Linked DNA regions of Arabidopsis thaliana. The protein of the gene in region 1 purifies or fractionates together with the protein of each later gene. This does not show direct contact. Each region holds a gene or a part of one and is shown on either strand. Other genes may lie near its edges. The genes, in order: OEP80 and TIC110.

Region 1 (7,364 bases):
ACAACATTGAGCAACGAACATAAGAAATGAAAAATGTCGATGCAACATCGGATTCCATATCCGCCGCTCATGTCGATTTCGTCAGTATCAGATTCTGAATCCTCACCACCTTCGTCTCCTCTGACCTCAAAATCAGGTAATCTGGAGAAAATGATCTGAATCAGCTCATGCATTGTGTATCTTCCATTTCGTTGCAGCAAATCTCCTCTACCGGTAGATTGTTGCACTACTTGGAAACATGTATTGACTATTGTGCAAACCGCTTGATCTTCTAATAACTCCTGTTTTAATACATAACTTATTATTACTGTCTTAAAAGAGGACAAAATAAACATTTGTAGTAAAAAGATTATAGTTAATGAACGTACAGAGGATGGATGTTTCATGATTCCGGTTAAAACTTGAAGAATCCTCATCATTACAGCATCTTCAGACACCAAATCTGTTTTCTCCAAACGACAACTAGTAATCCCGGAGACAATAGAATTCATAGCATCTTTTGCACCAGGTGTTTTCTCATCGAAGATCTCGATTTTAAGGATCTTTAAGATGGAGGAAAGAGCGACAGCTGTGGCGCTAGCCGGAATCTCATCGCTTTGAATAACTTCGAGGAAAGGAGAAAGATAAACCGAAGGATCTATGGTGCGCCAATCTTGTTGAGGATTGAAAATAAGAGCTCTAAGAGATTTGAGAGATTGTTGGACTGATGAATCACAGTGGTCTGTTTCTTGGGGAGAAAGGTAACTTTCTGAAAGGGGTCTACGAATGACGGCAAGGACTGCACCAACCTCCGTGTTAAGCATGCATGATATCCCTAGCTCTTTCCGCTTTGCTCTTACGGCGATACGATCCATTTCTCACCTTATCACACTCTTCTTGCCGATAAAGAAGAAAAATCATTCAGCAACTGTTTTTTTTGTTGTTCTTCGTTTTTATTCTTTATGTGTACGGTGTTGCCTTGCCTTGGTTTGATCCTATATTTAGTATATAAGTTTTAGTGGCTGAGACTCAGTGATGGGTGAGTTTCAACCATTTGTCATCACACATCTAGGAAAACTCCATCATCAGCTACCGTCAATTTCTTTAAGGCTTAAGATAGAAAACTAATGTACGTTCTGCAAAAATTCAGATTTAAGGATACATTATTTGGATCAAACGTATGTGTTCAAGGTTTTTTTTTCTTCTTCTTTTAAAGTAGAAGCAAACTCTACGATGATTGGAGTGGAAACCATTTTTGTAGGATTAGGCCTCTTCATACTGATCTGAGTCAGACTTTGCATAGCTGAAGTTTTTTTCCTCTACTATTCAATTAACCAGTAGAGAAAAACTGACGCTTAAGAGGTTAATGGAGCTTAAATTTTACCAAATTCAGACCATAACTCTATTTATGTACTGGTCCTAGTGTTTCCAAGAGAATATATCTCTCAGCTTAAATTTTACTAAAATTCAGACCATAACTTATTTATGTACTGGTCCTAATAAGATGAATGTTTTAAGGGTTTATGGCTTGCTTAAGAAGAGCCAAAACTCTCTATAATTAACAAGTCTAAAATTGACAAAATTAATATAATTGGTTTTGTTACATGTTTGTGACCATAACTACTAAAAAAATTCACAGAAAAACTATTCAATAATCCTTGTTTGTTCATGTGTGTGATCTATTAATCAATAAAATCAAGAAAATGGATAGGAGAAATCAACTAACGTTTTTTTCTCAAAAATCTATTTATTTATTTTGATTAACATGTTTTGAACGTTAGTTAACTAATTTACCCTACAAAAAACTAATTTACCGTCAAATAAATGAGAAATCCCCTTAATGAGAAATTGATTATTTTCCAAAATATTTATTTGACGCAATTTTATTTTCATTTTTGAAAATCCAGTAATTTTACAAAACCTAATAATATACTCAAAGGAATGTTTACATAAAACATTCAAAAAAATAATTTGTTTTTTGTTTGTTCGTAAATGGGCTTTAACATCACCTCCTTTTCACTCTATCATCTTCTACTCCGAGTCTCCGAATCAAAAAAAACCCTAGCTCTTATTTTTTGTTCTTAGATTTTATCTCTTAAGCTCTTCTTCTTCCTTGACATTTCCTCAATTTCACTCCCGAGTACGATTAACAATGCATTGTCACAACGATGATGTTCGCTTCTCTTCATCTTCTATCAGAATCCATTCTCCATCTCCCAAAGAACAACACTCTTTACTCACCAATCTCCAATCCTGCTCTAAAACCTTCGTCTCTCACCTCTCAAATACTCGTAACTCACTAAACCAAATGCTCCAGTCGCTAAAGAATCGCCACACTCCTCCTCCACGTTCGGTTCGTCGTCCCAATTTACCGACTCAGATGCTCAATTCAGTAACCCAGCTTATGATTGGGAAGTCTTCTCCAATTTCATTGTCTCTTATCCAATCCACCCAATTCAATTGGTCTGAATCAAGAGATGAGAACGTTGAGACAATCCGTGGACTAAGCTCGCCTCTGCTCTGTTGTGCCTCTTTGTCTCTAACTAGACCTAACGAGTCGACTCAGTCAGTGGAAGGGAAGGATACAGTACAGCAGCAGAAGGGTCACTCGGTGAGTCGAAATGCGGAGGAACGAGTTCTGATTAGTGAGGTTTTAGTAAGAACGAAAGATGGTGAGGAACTTGAGAGGAAGGATTTGGAAATGGAGGCATTGGCTGCTTTGAAAGCTTGTAGAGCTAATTCAGCGTTGACTATTCGTGAGGTACAGGAGGATGTACATAGGATTATAGAAAGTGGGTACTTTTGCTCTTGTACTCCTGTTGCTGTTGATACACGAGACGGGATTCGGTTGATGTTTCAGGTAATATTTTGATTGTTACTCTTTTTGTTGGAGGAGAAAGGTCTCGTTTTTATGTTTCTGGGATGCAAATAATTCTCATTTTCTTGCCATAAGGTAGAACCAAACCAAGAATTTCGTGGGTTAGTCTGTGAAAATGCAAATGTTCTTCCTTCCAAGTTCATACATGAAGCTTTCCGAGATGGGTTTGGTACGTATCCTCCAATTTAGCTTGTTTTTTTTTCTTCTGTACTGTACTAGACTTATCTGTCAATTCATTGATTTACGTTGGGAGTAAAATGGATTAATGATATTGGAACCTGACAAATATTTCGAGTACTAATGATGAAGCTAAGAATTTTCTAACACATGGTGTAAAATGTGTTAGCCTTGAATGAAGAAGATAGATTAGAGGTAGGTAGTATTCTCAAAATGTATCCATGCTCCAAAACAGAGCATAATTTGAAGTTGCATTTAGTTTACACATATTAATGTATTGAGGCTAGTTAGGTGGATTCCTTCTGTTCGGTGTGTGTTTGATTGGAGAGGGTAATGGTTAGTAAATGTTGGTGTCAAGCTGTGTAGGGAAAGTGATTAATATTAAGAGACTGGAAGAAGCTATTACATCCATCAATGGATGGTACATGGAGCGTGGTCTTTTCGGAATTGTAAGTGCTCTTTTTACACCATAATTACTTTTTCAAAAAAAAAAATCATCCTGGATTCAGTCTTATACTTTGTGGTTAGAATCATCATTCTGTTGTCTGCCATTGTAGGTTTCAGATATTGATACGCTTTCTGGAGGTATAGTAAGGCTTCAGGTTGCTGAAGCAGAGGTTAACAACATATCCATCCGATTCCTTGATCGTAAGACGTAAGCTGGTGCCAATCCCTCCCTTATGAATGTAGTTTATATTGGTTTAAATTGTAGGCAATTCTGGATGGCACTGGTAGCTTCCTTTTATTTCAACTATTAGATTACGATTTCATTGATAATGGTGCCTTCTATATTTAGTGGGGAACCAACTAAAGGGAAGACTAGCCCTGAGACAATACTACGGCAACTTACAACAAAGAAGGGACAGGTATTTTTTGGGCATTTCTCAGCTTAGATGTAAAGATAAGTCGCTGACTAAAACATCATAAACTATCTGAGCTGTATTTTTATGCTAAATAACACTTCTGAGTGCATCATCTGTGTATGAAATCCTTTGGAGATCTTATTTTTAATTAAGGTTAATCACTCTTTATGGTATCATGTATGTTTCTTCGTAAAATTTGGCCTTAAAGTCTTTATGCATGAGCGTCTAAGTAGGGCCTCTACATACACATCTTGTCTAATCTGGCTTTTGGTCAATTTAGGTCTACAGCATGCTTCAAGGGAAGAGGGATGTAGACACTGTGCTAGCCATGGGAATCATGGAAGATGTTAGTATTATTCCTCAACCTGCAGGAGGTGTGTAAATATATTTCTTTCTTTTCAGCTAATACTTTTAATTTTCATCTTGTGCTTAAGGTGCAGTAGTATGAGTGAAGAAAGTATTTTCCTTGCTTATCCTTAGGCACAGTAACAAAAGGTTTTGACAGTGTCTGATTCTGAAACTTTCTTCTTTTCCTTGTTTTTTATTCCTGTTAGATAGTGGGAAGGTTGATTTGATCATGAACTGTGTCGAGCGTCCCAGTGGAGGCTTCTCTGCTGGTGGTGGGATATCTAGTGGGTAAGTTTTAGTTTGTTTGCTACTTACAGCGATTCAATTTTTTTCTTTTGTAGCTTGATGACAACTTTTGTCCAATTCTTTTGTAGGATCACAAGTGGCCCCCTATCAGGATTAATTGGAAGGTAAAAGTAATGTATATTTTATTTGTAATGATTTTTTTTTTATTTCTGGCCTAGGCTGTGTGTATTACATTACTGATGTAGTTGAAGTAATCATTTTATGCAGCTTCGCTTATTCCCACCGCAATCTGTTTGGAAGAAACCAGAAGCTTAATGTTTCCTTAGAGAGGGGTCAAATTGACTCTATATTTCGTATAAACTACACTGATCCATGGATTGAAGGAGATGACAAGAGGACGTCCAGATCTATTATGGTTCAGGTAACACCTTTACTGGTTATCTCAATGAGATTGCTGAGATGACTAATAAACTAATGAACTTCATCTTGAGTTAGAATTCAAGAACACCGGGGAATCTTGTTCACGGCAATCAACCAGACAATAGTAGTCTCACAATTGGTCGGGTTACAGCAGGTGTTGAATACAGTCGTCCATTCAGGCCAAAGTGGAATGGTACTGCTGGACTTATATTTCAGGTCTCTACTGTTCCCAATATTTTCTAAGTTTCTGTACCAATCCAGAGTAATATTGGTGTTAAAGCAATTAAAATATATGTTCTTGTCGTTTCTGACTAGATCCAAACTGGTAAATTTTTTACTTTTTGACCAATATATACGTTACCCTTAATTTCGTTTTGAATTTCATGTTTCAGCATGCTGGTGCTCGTGATGAACAAGGAAACCCTATCATTAAGGACTTCTACAGTAGCCCTCTAACTGCAAGGTATATATATGTCCCAATTCCCAAAGAATGATTTGTCTTTGGTTCTGCTCACTGTTTTCACCAATGCTGTATTTGGCCATATGAATTTGATAGATGCCATTATTAATGTTTTCTCATGCAGTGGTAAGCCCCATGATGAGACCATGCTAGCAAAACTTGAAAGCATTTATACTGGCTCAGGTGACCAAGGATCAACGATGGTCAGTCTGATACCTCTGTTGGTACATCTTCCCCTTCTTTTTTCAGTGCCTAATTCTATCTGTATTTTTATACCAGTTTGCGTTTAACATGGAACAAGGGCTTCCTGTTTTGCCCGAATGGTTATGTTTCAATCGAGTGACTGGACGTGCCAGGAAAGGCATACACATTGGACCAGCTCGTTTCCTTTTTAGGTATGCTAACTTCCTTTGAGGCATATAATTTTCTTGAGGTCTCTATTTACCTTTTGGGATTCGAATCATCATTTCTAAAGTTTTATATAGTGTATCTTACCTTGTTCATGTTTATAGTCTGTCTGGTGGACATGTGGTGGGAAAATTTTCACCTCATGAAGCATTCGTCATCGGTGGAACAAACAGCGTAAGAGGTTACGAAGAGGGCGCTGTAGGATCTGGTCGGTCATATGTAGTTGGTTCAGGGGAGCTGTCTTTCCCAGTGGTGGGTTTTTCTTTGAACATTCCTAAGATCTCATTTCACAATGGTGTAAAAATCATGACTCTCATTCTTACCCTATTGTGCAGAGAGGACCGGTCGAAGGCGTCATTTTTACAGATTATGGCACTGATATGGGATCAGGATCCACCGTCCCAGGTACAGACTAGGCTTTCGTTTTTTTTTTCTCCTTCTGAGCCTTTCCATATATGCTTGTAATAGCTTTAGAATCTCAGGGAACCTTCATCTTTGTTATTTTCTGCCCTTTAGGTGATCCTGCGGGGGCAAGACTGAAGCCCGGAAGCGGTTATGGATATGGTTTAGGGGTGCGTGTTGATTCCCCGTTGGGGCCGCTACGCCTTGAATATGCCTTCAACGATCAACATGCGGGAAGGTTTCACTTTGGGGTTGGTCTGCGGAACTAAATTTTCCTGTTTCTTTTTTAGATTCGATAAGTGTTTTGTCGGCCTTTGTCGCACATTCATCTAGATGATGCTTGTCTATTTTGATAATTTATATCATCTTATGTAACTCACTGTTTTGTGAGTGGTTTGTGCATGGAGAGAGATGTCGCGTATGAATGCTTTTCATGTAGATGATTTTCATTTTACCAAACTCCCAGTTAAAATTATTAATAGAACCAAGATTAGGATTTTTATTCTTCATCCTAGTATGAACCTGATTTGTCTCCTTAGGATGTCACATGATCGTGAGCAAACTCTTCTCGATGCAATTGCAAAGCTTGAAGAAATGTCCGATAGAGTGATAATAACTCAACATATGAAAACAAGTCTTTTAGTGCGTAGTGTACAGGGACATCAAACTCCTATCGTGCTAGTAAAGATTTATCCAAGTAATTTCCGGACATACACCAACGTAGTTCGACGAGGATGTAATAATCCCCTAAGGTCTATCTTTTCATGTGGTATTTTACAGGGATGAAATAAATTTACATATAATATCGGTCACCTGAGAATCATATTCAGGTCCTTCCATCTGGAAATGACTAACGCCTTCAATGAGGTGTGTTTCAGTGCGTCCGACTGCAGATTTCAGCTTCTTCTTTAGCTGGCTAACGCTAGTGAACCCGTCTTGTGTTCCCATTACGAAGAGTTTGGGTTTAGGGGATGAGAGAATGGCCTTGTGGTGTCGCCCAAAGAGAATCGAGGCCATTAGGCCAAATGGGTATCCCAAACTCACATATCCCACCACTTGCTCTACTTGCTCCACCGCTGATCCTGCGATTGGTGCACCTGCCAAAGAGTCAAAACTTCAATTATTTTTCCTTTAACCAATATAAAGAAGTTGGCATGAGATATCAAATTTGTCTCAGAATATT
Region 2 (8,270 bases), on another chromosome or scaffold:
TGAATCTGGTTCGAGTTTAGACTACGGATCGAATAGTGCTAAATCTTCTGGATGTTACGCTTCCCTTGTCAAGGTGTTGCTCAGATCATGTTAAATGATTCTGCCTTTTTTCTTATATTTAACTCTCTCCTATTTTCTTATTAATTTTCACTTCTTTTTTTTCTTTTTTTGTAATCTTGGAAATAATTTCTAAAAACTATGTTTCATCGATTCATATCATCATCTCTATGAATCAATTGATTGGATCATATGGCTTCTATTTTTGTCTTTAAAAGACGTGCTTTTGTATAATTAGAAATTTCGACAAAAACATACTATAACGAGATCAGATCTAGTATACATGTTGATTGTTGAGTATTGTTCTAGTTGTGTGCAGTCATGTGAGACCACCATAGAATTAACAATTAACTTTCACTTACGGTGTTACGGTCAAATCATTTCATTAAAAAAAAAGTTCTCAATGATTGAATTAACTGTTATTCTATTTTTTAGGTTCGTTATGCGGGAACACCCGTCACGTGACACCACATGAGCACTTCAAAGCTGCGCTCTAAATTGTATAAGGGATACACTTCTCGTTTGCAGATTTTCAAATTAATCATATCAAGTTTATGGTTCTGATACAAAATTTTCACAGACTTTGGTCAAATTTCAAATTCAAAATCATTTTTCCACCCTCGGCCGTAACACAATACATAATAACTCAAGTGATTTCTCCAAAGATTTAAAAGACGAAATTGCCCTCTTCTGCAGCAGAAGATAATGCTCCATCTTCCATTTCACGGAGGGCAGTTGCAGTTGAATCATCTATTCCCAGCAGATATTGTAGCCTCAAAACTTTTTCCGGTGCGGGTTTGGGATCACTCTTTGAATAAATAGCATATAGATCAGATAATTCCTCTGAGACCTCCCATGACATTGGCTCAGCCGGCACAGCTTTGTCACATGCAAGCAAATCATTCAGCGACAAGACCTGTAAAACCAAAAAAAAAAAGCATACATACATACACAATTTAGACCCAGAAGCTGAAATATCCATGTTTTCTGTCACGATAAGAGAGGGAAAAGATGATTTGCATACCACTCCTTTAGAGTTTCTCTGCCTGAGTAATGCCACGGCTTGGACCAGCGAATTCGATAATCTACTCTGAGCGAGATCATGGACAACTCTTTTGGCTTTTTCCACATCAATACTGAGATCGGATGGGATTGTCTGGTAGACTTCGGTTTCATCGAATTCACCAGTTCCTGATGAGAAGATGTCACTCACTGTCTTCTTGAATAATTTCTCTCTCAGACTCACAGCGATCATGCTGTCCAGGCTGACATTTGCCTCCTTGAGCTCCCGTATCTGCTTTATGTTCAGTCTTCCTTGGTTAACAGCGGTCTCTATCGCGTTTGCCATTTTTGTGGTGGTTATATTCTTGATAACCTTCTCGGCTTGTGGCTGAGGCAAACCAACTTGTTTTTGCAACTCGTCTAGCTGCTCTACTCTAGCCTTTGTCAATTGCCCATCAGCTAAAATCACTTCAGCTTGTTGCCTAAAAGCCTGCTCGGCTAAACCTACGTGAATGTTGACTATTTCTTTCGAACTCAATCCGAGAATCCCACCAAGCTGATTTAGAAGCAAGTACTCTGAATCGTCTCTCTTTGTTGTGATCTGGGCGCCAAAAGGGATTCTTGTTACCTCTCCAGTTACACAGTAGAGCAAGTATGTTTTGTAGAGATCTATTCTGTCCCTGTCGGGAAGGTCATCTTTGAGAGTTATCTCAGTCTGGCCAGGCTTTCCCATTTTCTCAGCGAGTTCCTTGTCGGGTCTTGTCTTTCTGAGCGATTCAAGGGATCCCCATTCTTCATCTTCATCATCTTCTTCTTTCTCTTGAACAGGGTCCTCCTCAGGTGCCTTATCAGAAGATTCTCCCTTGATATCAGCCACCATTTCAGTCACAACCAACGTGTTGAAAGCAATCATCTTCTTGAGCTCCTTTGCTGAATCAGTACGGTTCTCGGCTGCTCTTGCTCGTCTGATATAGTTTGTGAAAACCCTACGGACCTGCATCAATGAAGGGATTTGATTTTCATGTCTTGCTATGAGAAGTCAGAAAATTTTAACAAATCCTAATACCAAGCATGGAGAAAGTAAATAGTGTGATACTCACAGCTTTGCTAGCAATAGACATGGCAGTCTCTCTGGATAACCGAAGACCATGTGCAGCCTTTCTAACTGATTTGCGAGTTTCAGCATCATAACCATCCACTCCAGAAGAAATGGCATCCCTGACAACCTGGAAAGATTAAACAAAAAGGTAATTAGAGGTAAAACCTTTTGGTAACAAAATGCGAAGGCAGAGAGGGAAGCAGAGGGAAATTGCAGTGCCAAGACCCAAGACCATGAAAAAACCCTTGATAAAGGGAAAAGGGAGGTGATAACTGGATTACCTTTTCAAATATGGTTCCACAGATTTCTGCATGAGCTGTATCAACAGTTTGCTGGGGAATACACAACATAACTCTTAACCTTAATAAAGCAGCAACATTGTCATCGCTCAGCTCTCCATCAGTAACACACTGTTGAAGCTTCTGCCGATAGATTTCTGAGGAAGAGAAGGTGCTTGTCAGATGATTGGGAAAAAAAGACCAAATAGATACTCAAACTGTAAAATAACAGCATGTAACCCACTGAAACACCAGACTTGTTAGAAGTCTGTTAAGAACCAAATCTACAACACTAAAAGCTAGCTTAAAAGGATAAGGAACCCGCAAGTTTACAAGCCATCAACTAAATTGATACCCATGGACACATCTTACATTTGGGCGATTATGTGGCAATTCCAACTGTATACCTCATGCATAACATAAAAACATAAGATTTCATTGTGAACAGAAGGTTCGGCTTATACCTTCATGGATTGCGCCTGCCTTCTGTGCATCAAAGTGCAGCTCTTCGCAGAGCTTTTGAAGGTATTTTGCTTTACTGTCTTGTGCTTCAAGGTCACCACTAGAAACAGCGTTAGCAAGTCTTTTACGGTAAGACTTGGACGTAACATCAACACTAATAGCTTCAGCCTCTCGTTTTCCCAGACCGAGTATGTTTCTAAGTTGGCTCATTGCCACGAGCTACCATACAGTAGAAAGACAATTAGAAATGGAAAAAAACATGCGACTGGGATAGAGGACACAGCATCTGAAAACACTTACTCTCAAAAAAACTTGCAACTAAGCTTTAGTACATAATATCTTATACAAAACTGAGTATACCTTATTTTCTTCTAAGCGCCCACCAGATAAAGCATCTGTAACATATGCTCTATAAAGGAGCTTTAAATCATCCATTCTCCTCTCAAAATCAGACTCATCACCTAAGCCACATAGATCCAAGGTTGAGAGCCAATAATTTTTCTTCAGAAAAGAGAAGGTCAAAAGCATCTTCACCTATCAAAGAAATAGGGCCAACCCCGCGTGCAAATTGATCTGCCTCTGAATGACTTTTCAAGGAAACTAGCAGGTTGTTAAACTCCAGTACTTTTTCAAGCTCTTCCACGACAGATGCCAAACTCTTCCTGGAAAAAATCAGGTCGTTAAAATGACATGCATTGTAAACTACTATAAACTAGACATACTAGATGATCCAATTTGTTTCCACTATTAATTATCACAAGATACAAAAACGCCTATAAAATTAAAATCTCATGACTTTTTTTTAAATACTTATACTATAAGACAATTCACAAAAGCAAAAGAGATCATATGACCAATCAGTTTTTGCAATAACCAAAACTCAAAACTAAAGCCAAAACTTCAATCTCTTTTTTCAACCCGACCAAACTCAATGTTCAAGCAAAGGAATACATATACCCAGCTAAAGTCATAACTCATTGGTATAAGAAATAAAAAAGTTAAATGTGTAACCAAACTGTTCACATGGATAATGATTATTCTATACGATTTTTCTATGCATGATTCTGTAAGCAATATGTTAAAATGATTTACGCTGCTCGTGTGCGGGATTTGAGTATGCTGAGTGCCGATGAAATGTTCTCTACGACTACTTTTCTCGTATGCTCTCTAAACAGGTCTTCAGCAAGCTATGAGGGAGAAGAAACTGTCAGAAGAAGTACAACCAGAGATAGCAGGAAGTCAATGCCACAAAGAAATAGAGTACCTCATCAGAGAGCTTGAATGATAGTTGTGATTTTCTAAGGTCCACAAGGTTTTCTACGTTAATATCTGCAAGAACATGTTTAGAAACATAACCATGTAAGTTTCCATGCATTAAGCTGACGAAAAAGCTAAGTCATATCTTTTTTTGGTTGTCAAAAAGCCATATCTATTATCAATGTTAAATGAGAAGGGACCATTACAGTCGCATGCGAAGTAACAATTAAGGTTGGTATTCAGACAACTTGCTGATAAACGAATATTACAAAACCCAATGGACAAAGAAGTGCCACAATAATCAATATAACCAAGTCAAGCAAACTCAAACCCGTTCTACAAATGTAACATTACTTCCCATCTCAAAATGTAAAACATGAACAACATTACCTCTACCAACTAATTTTAACCGTTCGGCATACAGCTGCTTTGCATTTTCACGAATAGCAATCTCAACCTAGAAATGAGGTCAAGACATTAGCACAGAACTTCAGATTACCAAGAAGGAGTGAGTTGCCAAAATGAAACTTCCATAAAACAACTATTGCGCAAAATCAGAAGTATGAAAAAAATTGGAAATGCCTACCTGAGCATCTGTGACCTTCAATACTCGCTTCCAAGGTAGAAGGAAGGATGAAGCATCTCCAAACACAAGAGCTGAAACATATACAAGCCTCATAAATGCCTGCACTGGAAGCATACAACTTGTGATCACGCTTGTGCTCTCTTTCGAACAATCCTACAATAAACTTAACAAATACTAGGGACTGGCGACTCACCCGACGCTGTTCTGCATCACCTTCACGCTCCCCAGTCTCAAGCCTTTGCCTAAAAATCCTGCGACCAATCTAAACAAAACCAAGGAATTGGTGATTCAGCAATCAAGATCCTTCTGCATCAACTACAAAAAGGCTAACGGCTAATTCAAATGAAGATTAAGAATCTAGAAAGCACCTCCATGTGCATGGCAGCTGCATCAGGTTCGTCTATCCCTAAAGCATTTTTGAACTTGACTATCTTCGCCACTTCATCCCCTTTAAGAGACTGTCCTTCAGTTGGAAGCACGGAAGTTACATACCTAAATCAAGATTAAGATGCAAAGATTACTAATGAATTCCCCACACTAAGAGAAAAGATGAACACAGTATCCTTTGTTGACTCACCGGCAATAAATATCACAAATCTCAGCCTGGAATGCTTCGTCTCCTTTGTTGACACCGTACCTGCAACATATAAGAAGGATCGTTTAAGCAAACTTTTGTTTATAAATCCCAGACACAAATTGACAATTAAATGAAGCACTCACCTATCAGCGATCTTTTCTACATCATCTTTCGTCACAGAGGCAGGATCTTCGAATTCGGCAACATAATTATGCAAACTGATAGCAGCTACCTCCGGTACAGCAGAGTTCAACGCATATACGACAGCTCCACCGGCGGCTCCAGCAACAGCAGCCCCACCAAAGGCAATATTCCTGGAGCCGGCTAAACGGAGCCCAAGGCCGTAACCAGTAGCTAAAGACGCCGCTAATACAACAGCTGAAGTCGCTAGCCTCACCGGCGGTGTCATTTTCTCAACAATCGGTTGCAATCCAGTGAGCTCCTTCTTATTCCCATGGATACCGGGATTCTTCGCCTGCGTAGATACTGATAGTTGGTCGGAGGAAGCAGCTGAGCTACGAGGGAACGAAACTCGATAACGACGGCGAGATAGACACTCAGACTTGGAGAAACGGTGAGGTAAAGTAGGTAGGAAGTGAGAAAGAAGAGGAGACCGAGGAGAAGGTGAAATTGGAGCGTTAATGGCGGTGACGAGTGAGGGATTCATGGTTCCCTCTACTGAGAAAGATCCGAGCAGTCGTTGAAAAAAAGAAGAATCGTAGGGTTTAACGAAAAACAGTAGACAACGGAAGAAGATAGAGATGCGAACGAAGAAAAGGGGAAAGAGATAGGGCCTAACAAAACATCAAAATCCCCTTTCGAACGTCCAGACGTTTTTTAATAATATTATAAAACTACGTGTTGTTTTACTCTTCGGTAACGGTAAGATGTTTACATAAAAAAACAAATTAGACGCCTTGTGTAAATTGGAAACGCCACGATTTCTTCTCTCTTCTTGGCTCTTAGGGCTCGCTAAATTTTCTCAGGGCTGTGACCATCGACCATCGTCGTCTTCGCGGAGCTCAGTTGAAAGATGTTAACGGCTGATATACCACCAAATCAGTCAATCTACATAAAACATATCAATGAGAAGATCAAGAAAGAAGGTAATGCTTACGAAATTCATATAATTGCATCGGTGATTTTCTAAGAGTTTTTGCAATGCTTAAGTAGCTTGGTAATGCTTGTGTGAGCTTCTCTTGAATGAGTTGTCTGAGTTTAAAGTTGCTTAATTTGATGTTTACGAAGGTTAGATTAGATGCATTTAGAGTTATCTTTCTAAGTATTAGGGATTTAGAATTTCTGTCTAATCTTAATAGACCTGAACTAGAGATACTCTAACAAAGGTGCTTTATTTAAGTAATTAAGTAGGAAAGGCGATTGCTTTTGCCATGAAATTTGTTTAGATTGTTTGATTGAAGTCAATGACCTTAAGTTCTTTAGCTGCTGCTTTTGTTTGTCTAAGAGTAATGCTGTTCAAGCAGATCATTGTTTAATGTTTCCACTTGTTTTTTTCAGAGCTGAAGAGGTCTCTTTACTGTTTGTTCTCTCAGTTTGGAAGATTACTTGATGTGGTTGCGTTAAAGACTCCTAAGCTCCGGGGACAAGCATGGGTTGTTTTTACTGAAGTCACCGCTGCTAGCAACGCTGTCCGTCAGATGCAGAACTTTCCTTTCTATGATAAGCCTATGGTACCTTTTTCCTCTCTTATGTTCCAGGTTTATCTATCCCGCTACCGAAAAATGATTTTATCTTGTTATGTGAGACTATAAGCTTAGAAAGTTGCAGAGATTTACTTGGAGGGAAAATTGAGTTTGCTTGCTGATACTTGTTGTTATATAAAATTGAAGGAAGTACAACGACATTAGATGTTGAGGGTATATCATTACACAAGTGATTACTAAGTAAAAGACTAGAAAAAGCTAAATGCAATATTATTATTCAAATCGTGATGTGTGATCTCTGTGGGTGCAGCGGATACAATATGCAAAATCAAAGTCAGATTATGTTACTAAAGCCGAAGGGTCTTTTGTTCCAAAAGAAAAGAAGATGAAGCAAGAAGAGAAAGGTTTAAACTTTCGTTTCCATCACAAGTTCAGATCTTTTCAGCTCATTTCATCTGTGTTTTACTTCGCATCTGATGTTTAACAAAACTGCACATCACTTTCAGTTGAAAGGAAGCGACATGCTGAAGAAACTCAACAACCAAGCATGCCTAATGGCGCAACTACTCAGAACGGAATGCCTGTGGCAATTTCTCTTTCTCGCATCATTCCAACAATACAATATTATCTTCTGACAGACGTCATTATCGCAACTTAGTCTGTAAATCCTTGTTTCCTAATACCCGTCTCTGTAATTTCACAGCCTCCTTTCCAGCCGAGTGGGCAAGACACGATGCCACCAAACAACATACTCTTCATTCATAATCTTCCCATTGAGACGAATAGTATGATGCTTCAGCTGCTCTTTGAGCAATACCCAGGATTCAAAGAGATAAGAATGATCGAAGCAAAACCCGGAATTGCGTTTGTGGAGTATGAAGACGATGTTCAGTCTTCCATGGCCATGCAGGCTCTTCAGGGTTTCAAGATCACTCCGCAGAATCCAATGGTCGTCTCTTTTGCCAAGAAGTGAAAACCAGAGTTTTGTTATGCGGATGAATGGTAATGATATACTAATTAGTAGCTGTTTAAAAGCAAACTGTCTTATTTTATTTGGTTCGTTTCCGATTAGTGGTGTGAATGACCCCGAAGCTTTAGACCAGAATGTAATGAGATCGAAGAATTGAGAGTGATTTGGTTGGAGAAAATCTCATTTTAAATGCCTTATTATTATTAGGACTTTGGGGGAACTAAAACCACGAATTTAGAAATGAGAAGATTATGGGGTTACTGACATCAACCAGCCAAAAAATAGTCGCATTCGATAAATAGAGGCAACAAATATGCT

The links.
Region 2: the proteins of OEP80 (region 1) and TIC110 purify together in Arabidopsis thaliana (affinity purification with western blotting; 2 studies listed by BioGRID, with this or other methods). This does not show direct contact.

Annotation. Positions count from the first base shown.
Region 1 is NC_003076.8:6,621,192-6,628,555, forward strand, and holds OEP80 (outer envelope protein of 80 kDa), read left to right. Parts: upstream 1-2,005; 5' UTR 2,006-2,131; coding exon 2,132-2,839; intron 2,840-2,932; coding exon 2,933-3,026; intron 3,027-3,400; coding exon 3,401-3,483; intron 3,484-3,591; coding exon 3,592-3,689; intron 3,690-3,830; coding exon 3,831-3,900; intron 3,901-4,177; coding exon 4,178-4,271; intron 4,272-4,451; coding exon 4,452-4,533; intron 4,534-4,619; coding exon 4,620-4,655; intron 4,656-4,758; coding exon 4,759-4,912; intron 4,913-4,986; coding exon 4,987-5,127; intron 5,128-5,303; coding exon 5,304-5,374; intron 5,375-5,495; coding exon 5,496-5,574; intron 5,575-5,650; coding exon 5,651-5,766; intron 5,767-5,883; coding exon 5,884-6,031; intron 6,032-6,114; coding exon 6,115-6,184; intron 6,185-6,295; coding exon 6,296-6,450; 3' UTR 6,451-6,703; downstream 6,704-7,364. Other genes in the region: GNL2 (GNOM-like 2), read right to left, coding at 1-281, 369-854; AT5G19630 (alpha/beta-Hydrolases superfamily protein), read right to left, coding at 6,956-7,278. UniProt on the Arabidopsis thaliana protein: Plays an essential role during early stages of plastid development.
Region 2 is NC_003070.9:2,129,579-2,137,848, forward strand, and holds TIC110 (translocon at the inner envelope membrane of chloroplasts 110), read right to left. Parts: upstream 6,126-8,270; 5' UTR 5,986-6,125; coding exon 5,462-5,985; intron 5,379-5,461; coding exon 5,319-5,378; intron 5,234-5,318; coding exon 5,110-5,233; intron 5,004-5,109; coding exon 4,935-5,003; intron 4,841-4,934; coding exon 4,742-4,840; intron 4,613-4,741; coding exon 4,546-4,612; intron 4,228-4,545; coding exon 4,163-4,227; intron 4,086-4,162; coding exon 3,991-4,085; intron 3,561-3,990; coding exon 3,433-3,560; intron 3,360-3,432; coding exon 3,259-3,359; intron 3,118-3,258; coding exon 2,901-3,117; intron 2,595-2,900; coding exon 2,440-2,594; intron 2,286-2,439; coding exon 2,160-2,285; intron 2,054-2,159; coding exon 1,082-2,053; intron 974-1,081; coding exon 725-973; 3' UTR 475-724; downstream 1-474. Other genes in the region: AT1G06930 (TPRXL), read left to right, coding at 1-94; AT1G06960 (RNA-binding (RRM/RBD/RNP motifs) family protein), read left to right, coding at 6,352-6,424, 6,837-7,009, 7,293-7,386, 7,489-7,568, 7,686-7,955. UniProt on the Arabidopsis thaliana protein: Involved in protein precursor import into chloroplasts. Forms a voltage-dependent cation-selective channel at the inner envelope of chloroplasts, which specifically responds to a transit peptide.